2 linked regions of the Drosophila melanogaster genome follow. The protein of the gene in region 2 purifies or fractionates together with the protein of the main gene of each other region. This does not show direct contact. Each region holds a gene or a part of one and is shown on either strand. Other genes may lie near its edges.

Evidence for each region.
Region 1: the proteins of CG5131 (region 2) and Obp56f purify together in Drosophila melanogaster (affinity purification with mass spectrometry, with the first as the bait; one large-scale study listed by BioGRID). This does not show direct contact.

Annotation. Positions count from the first base shown.
Region 1 is NT_033778.4:19,711,545-19,714,672, reverse strand, and holds Obp56f (Odorant-binding protein 56f), read right to left. Parts: upstream 1,279-3,128; 5' UTR 1,255-1,278; coding exon 1,195-1,254; intron 1,141-1,194; coding exon 823-1,140; 3' UTR 697-822; downstream 1-696. Other genes in the region: CG8517 (uncharacterized protein), read right to left, coding at 1-265, 327-499; Obp56e (Odorant-binding protein 56e), read right to left, coding at 1,822-2,163, 2,220-2,276.
Region 2 is NT_033779.5:17,482,593-17,486,450, reverse strand, and holds CG5131 (uncharacterized protein), read right to left. Parts: upstream 1,951-3,858; 5' UTR 1,874-1,950; coding exon 1,223-1,873; intron 1,150-1,222; coding exon 949-1,149; 3' UTR 827-948; downstream 1-826. Other genes in the region: CG43645 (uncharacterized protein), read right to left, coding at 111-154, 232-298; CG43221 (uncharacterized protein), read right to left, coding at 446-489, 600-660; GCS2beta (glucosidase 2 beta subunit), read left to right, coding at 2,293-3,295, 3,361-3,858.

The sequences.
Region 1 (3,128 bases), on a different chromosome or scaffold from region 2:
CTAGTTTTCCGTATCCTCAGGTGGTGGGTGTGGCACCGCCTTATGGAGCCACTTGCGTAGGTATTCGCTGGTCTGCAGGCCAACCATTCGATTTACCACCTTGCCGTTGCTGATGACCACCAGTGAAGGAACGGACCCCACGTTGTAGTCAAGGGCCAGTTCCCCATGCTCATCAATATCGACCCGGGCCAATCTCACTCGACCTTCCTGCTCGGACACAACGTTCTCCAGTCGAGGGGCCAGAGCCTTGCATGGACAGCACCAGCTGATCAGGAAGGCGGAACAATGTCTTAACATGGTTCTATTTAACTGAAGGCTAAGCTCACCTGGCATGAAAGTCCACAACCACCGGCCGATCGCTATTGATCACACGTTGCTCAAAGTCTTTTCTAGTCTCCACATCGAAAATCGGTTGCTTGCCAGTACTGGTCATTCCGCGATTAGCCTTCATCAAATTCATTAGGCGCTTTGCCCGGAATAATCTTCTATAGCTGGACATAATAAAGCTTACGGATAACTTAAATTTTAGCCTAGATAAATATCAAGAAAATTTTGATCCGAAAATTTTTGGGACTACAGTGTGATGACGACTAGAGCCTTTTTACTACTGAAAATATTACGGTAAAATCACATTTGGCATAGAGTTCCATAAATTCAAAGGCTTCTTGATCCAGAAATAACATTTTATATTTAGTTAGTTTTCGGTTTTACACTTTATTATGTACATTGGTGAAGTTTCTCAAAAATTAACGTTTTAAAGTGTGATGTGCATAAGTTGAATGTTTATCCGAACACCAGGTACATAATAGCATGTTTAGAAGTCTAATGCTTGGTAATGGACTGATAGCATTTCAAGATTTCGTAGCCCAATTCACATTTTCCTGAAGCCTTGATGGAATGACACTTTTCTTCAGCCTTTTCCAATTCATCTGTGTCAGTAATGCCATACTTTTTTTCAAGTACTTTCCTCGGTTGCTCCGAACTGATCGCATCATTTGCAATAACACCTTTCACTTCCAGTAAGCAGTGATAAAAACACTTGCTTTGAAGAGAGTCTTCTTTAGCATCAAATTTTGTATTTTCTGTAATTGTATACCCCAGCTGCCGTTTCAAGCAGGCTTTTATTTTTTCAGAAGATTTCTAAAACTTGGACATTTCAAAGAATGGAATTTCAACATTATTGCGATTGCTTACCATACAAAATGCTTGGAGCCAGATAGCAGAGATGAAAATGAACAACAGGAATACTTTCATAATGATAGTTTTGTGTGCAAGAACATAAATTAGCTATCTTTCCTGGCTTTTATAGTTCGTACATTAGCCATGCCTATTTACACTTTATCCTCAACTCGAAACTCAAAAAATCATATTATCAACGCTTGGTTTCGGTTTCCAGGGACTGTTACCCACTTGTTATTTAACCTGTCACAAAACCATTTAATGTATTTTTAGCTCTTTGTACTTAATAGAAAGACCAGAAAGAAATTCACTTTCATTACTTTCCAGTACGGGCTGGCAATGTCAAGAAATAAATATGGTTGCAGTATAATAAATAGTCACTTACATTGGAATATGACAGAACGAAAATGCAGGCTAAAAACACTAGAGCAAGCGTTCCGTTCATTTTATGATTTTAAAATTCAATACTGAAGATGCGCTTTAAATAGATTTTGCTGACTGTCTATGTGCACGCCTATTAACAATTTCAAGCTTTTTCTTAAATTGATTGCACGCCTATTTGGGAAGCCTGATCTAATTTTTATTGAGAATAACTGGTAATCAAAGAAACAAATATTCTTTTGAAAATCAAAAAAGGTTTTCTTAGAATTGGGCGTGGTTTTCGTAGTAGCACTTGTACAGCAGATAGCTAGTGTCGCACTTGTCGGCTCCCTTGGTCGAGTCACACTTGGCCTGCACCTCCTTGACATTGGCTTCGCCGGCGATGGGACCTAGTTTGGCCAAAACCACGTCAGGTTTTATCTGCCCATTGGCCACCAGGCCGGTCTGCTCCAGGAAGCAGTTGGCGAAGCACTTTACCTTTGGATCGGAGTCTGCAAAGTTTCCAGACCGCAGGGCAATAGCTTGCTCCTTCGTGATTCCCTCCTGTTTGACGCAGGCCTTGGCTCTCTGCTTTGCCTCAGCCTTTTGGGAATCAGTTAGCCCCTGTTAAGAGGAACAAATCTTTATAGAACTTATGGAAATCAAGCAAAAGGACCTACCACGGCAGATGCCAAAGATAGAGCTGCAAGGGCGGCAAACACAAAGAATACTTTCATGATGCTGATCGTAATCTGCTGTGTAGAATCTTTTAGAATAGAAACTGTTGGCTAAATGTCTCGTCGAGTCAGCATTTATACAATTTGCGATGATGGACTTTGGACTTTGTTTAGTGATTCCCTTTCAATCTACTTGGCTGCACTGAGAAACAACCTAGCCATGCTGACTTGCGGGTTATTTCTTGTTGTCAGGTTCTTACATATCAATATATAATTTCAGATTTAATTTGGGAAAAATTAAGCTTCAGGTGGCTTTAAAGTATATTTTTAATTAGCGTAAGCTGTCCTAGTTAAAAGGAATAACTGGGATCTGCGAATTTTTTGGCCTCTGTTAAAAGTTCTTAGATATGCTTACATAACTCTGAAGTTCGAACTACAGCCCACAATCTGATTGTCAAATAAAATTTTCCATTAACATCGAATACTGACTTGCACTTTATTATCCATAGTTACAAAGTAAGTAGTTTGTGTAAAGTAGTGTGTGAAATGGCGTGTGGTTTAAATGTATAGTTTTTAGCTTTCAATCGGCCAAGATTAATTTTCTGAAGGCTGTGCAGTTTGTTAATAATTTTCGTTGTGCTTTAAACTTTCCTAAGTCAGCAGGGATTTTGCTACCCGAGCTTCTGGCTATGAACCACCACACATTTGGGTCACAGCAGATTCCAAAATACTGATAACATTCACTCGTTGGCCAGGCCATATTTACTTGGGCCAAATGAATGATGACCCGCCCAGCCTCAGTTTGTTGTCTAAACATTTTTATGATTCAGGGTTAGAGATAGGATTCTTCTTTCCTGCCAGTGTCTTTACATAATCCTCACTGCTTACACAGGCATCAAGGCGTTTTAGCAA
Region 2 (3,858 bases):
TCTGGGTCAGAAATGGGACAAATATACGAGTACACATTTGTGTATTGAAAAGCTTTTAAAGGTAAATGCTCATATCAAATTTTTTATTTGCTCACGATCGCTGGTCTATTTCAATTGTAGTTGTCGTAATAATCGCCCAAGTACTCCGCATCAGCTTTACAAACAAAAAATGAAAATAAAATAGTAATATGATTAAAAAGCCCTGTTTTGATAGCATTACAAATTCATTACTTATGTCTGAGAAGAAAAGGTCGTTGAGGAAGCTCAAAAATATTTCCGGCAGCTCACAACAGTCCATATTGTTGGTTGTACTTTGGTAGTTTCACAATTTTCGTTTTGTATTTATAGCATTATTTCAAAGGTTAATTATACTTTGTATGGTTTATTTGGATTAATCCATTTGATAACTTCTATTAGGTTCGCGGATTATTAAAATAATAATAATCTAGGTGCTCGACTCATCGTAATCATCATCTGATGAGGTATCACCTGCAATAATATGAAGTGATTTCCTCTTTATTTATTGATAAATTGACTATAATGTCCGCTTTTTTTTTACTACTTATCCAGCTCCACTTCTCCCATGTCCTCCCACTTACTGCCAAACAGCATATCCCCAATGATTTCGAATATCATTCCAATTATTTCACAATCCTCCATGCCTTTGCTCCTGCTGCTCTTGCAACTTAAACTAAAAGCATCAGTCTTAACAGCATGTTTTATATACGTTTTAGCTGCTGGGTATATAGTACTAATTGAATTTATCTCATGAACTTGATACATTTCATGGCTAATCGTACATAATTTAATAAATAACCAAGCGATTAGGTTTAAATATAAAACCGTCTGGCCGTGTGACATTCAAAATGTCCCGAGCTTAAAACATAGTTTTATTTAACATTGTGTGGGGGTGGGTACTTAAAAAAGAAAAGGCATATATAAAGCAATTTAATATACATCATAGCCATACATGGGTGCCTCCATGTAAGCCTTCTGCTGGTCCGTGGAATTGCGACGGATTCTCCGGCCAATGGGCTCCAAGTCTGCATAGCATTTGGGAAAGACACGTTCCACAGCAGCGACGGCATCTGCTTTGCTAATATTGCGAACAGCGAGCACGGAAGCTAGGGCTTTGGACTTGACGCAGTTCTGAAAAAAAGAAGAATAGATTTGGATTCAGTTTCTTAAGCATTTGGTTAATAAAAATATATAAGAAAGCCACCTGATGCGCTTCCTTGACATTAAATGGCGAGGCATCTCCTTGGAACATGGCGCTCAAGAAGGAGCAATGCGCCAGGTTTGCCGCCCTGATCTCTGTGCAGGCCAGGTGGTCCACGTTGCGGAAGTCCATGTCGTTATTGCAGTAGTCGAACATGTGAATCATCTCGTGCGTTAGCACTCCATGGACCATGCTCTTGTTCCTGGCCATATTCTGGCAGACCACGATCTGGTTGAGCTTGGGATCGTAACCGCCGGTGACTGTGGGGTCGCACACCTCGCATGAGATGTGTCGGCGCAGATCGATGGGACAACCGGAACTTTTCAGTGCTCCCATCATCAGTTTGACCAGCGGACCATTTTTGACACACCAGTACACATTCTCCTCGCACTTGAAACGATCAATGTTCTCCTGCCCCTCCAAGCCGAACAGGACTCGTGTCCATTTGGGCTTGAAGGTTTCGCCCCTTCGCTCCGGATAAAGGTCGTAGCCCCAATCCTTTTGAGCAGTGGTGGTTTCTTCGGTGCTCGTCTCCTTACTGGCAGATGCTTTTTCAGTCTTTGCATTTTGTTTTTCTTGCGCTGCGCCGGTGATGGCTTCTATTGCCTCGGGCGCTGTTGCCTCTTTGGCCCACACTTTAGTCAGGAACTCCATTATTTTATGGGCTCTATGATCCTCCACTTTTGTTAAATAACAAACCGGCAGCTGATTTGGCAGCGTTGCCACACTGCCGAAAAGACAGTTGGTCAGCAGTGCAGTGGTCAGGTGCTAAAAACCAGCGCGAAAGTAATTCTGCATCATAACATAATACGTGAAATTTTCAAGGAATTTAATCAAATTAAAATAAGCAAACCAATTTCCCCGTGTCGGTCATACAAACGAAATCCCTTCGGCCATTTCAAATCCCGCCACTGCCCGTTGCTATCGATAGTTGTCTCTATTGCCATCGATAGTGCTGCACCGGCATTTTACGATTCGTAAAAAACCATAGCAAATTCCACGTAAGATTTACAGCACTCGGGAGGCAACTCAAATTAGAAGATTAATTAGGAGTAGTACTGAGCACAGCCAAAATGCAAAGCTTGCAACTTAGCCAAGTGCTGCTAATACCGCTCCTGCTGGCCCTGGTGGCCACCAACGTAGGCTCTGCCAGCGAAGTTCCACGTCCGCTGGGTGTTCCGCTGGCCAAGGCTTCACTGTACCAACCTCGGGCGGGCGAAAACAGTTGGACCTGCTTGGATGGCAGCCGCACCATACCCTTCTCCCACATCAACGACGATTACTGCGACTGTGCGGATGGAAGCGATGAACCTGGCACTGCGGCCTGTCCGCAGGGCCAGTTCCATTGTGTGAACAAAGGCCACCAGCCGGTAAATATACCCAGTTCGCAGGTGCAGGACGGCATCTGTGACTGCTGCGATGGCAGTGACGAGTCAGAGACGGTCGGTTGCCCGAATACCTGCTTGGAACTCGGAGCAGCGGCGGCTGTCCAAAGGCGGAATGCAGCGGAGCTGCACAAACGTGGAGCTGAGCGGCGACAGGAGATGATTACCCGTGGCAAGCAGATGAGGGCCGAGCGAGAGGCGCGCCGCCTTGAGCTAGATCAACGACGCAAGGAACAGGAACTGCTGCGCGCCGAAAAGGAGCAGCTCAAGCAAACCGCTGAGGCTCTAGAGGCAGAAGCCATTGAAATCTTTAAGGAGCAACAGCGCGAGGTGGATGCTGACACCGCACAGGCGGAGCGGGAGCCGCAACAGATGCGCCAAGAGGCCACGCTCACCTTTGTGCGCTACGACACCAACAAAGATGGCTTCGTCGAAGTTACCGAACTGATGGTCGACATGAATCTGGACAGAGATCGCAACGGCGTGGTAACTGTGGAGGAGGCCAAGTACTTCCTGGACGAGCGCGAACGAGTGGATCTAGATGCTTTCGTAACGCTGGCCTGGCCGCGTATTAAGTCTCTGCAAATGCTGGCCGAGGGTCTGTTCCAGCCGCCGCAGCCGGAGGAAGTTGCCCAGCAGCCAGAGGTCACCACCGAGTCGATCCAGCCCACTCCACCAAAGCTAAGCGAAGGTAATGATAATAGGAATACTATTTCTTACTCTTTGAGTTCTGATTTCTTTTTCTTCCTATTCCAGAACAAGCTGAACTCGCCGGCGATGATGATATTGAAGCCGACGAAGAGGGTGAGGAGGATCAGTACGATGATGAGGAACCCGATGTGGGCGTTGGCGAAGCCTCTCCGGATGCGGAAGAAGCCACGCCACCTAACTACGATCCGGAGACGCAGCGTTTGATCCAGCAGGCCAATGAGGCGCGAAATGCTCTCGAGGAAGTGGAGCGCAGCCTGCGCGAGATTCAGCAGGAGGTTAACGAGATCGACGACCAGAACAACAAGGGCTACGGCCTGACCGAGGAGTGGGCCGTGCACGATGGCCAGTGCTACAATTTCGAAGATCGGGAGTATGTGTACACCCTTTGTCCCTTCGATCGGGCCTCCCAGAAGTCGAGGAGCGGTGGGCCTGAAACCACGCTGGGTCGCTGGGACAAATGGAGTGGAGAGCCAAAGCAATATTCCCAACAAAAGTACACCAATGGTGCTGCCTGCTGGAATGGTCCAAACCGTTCGGCCATCA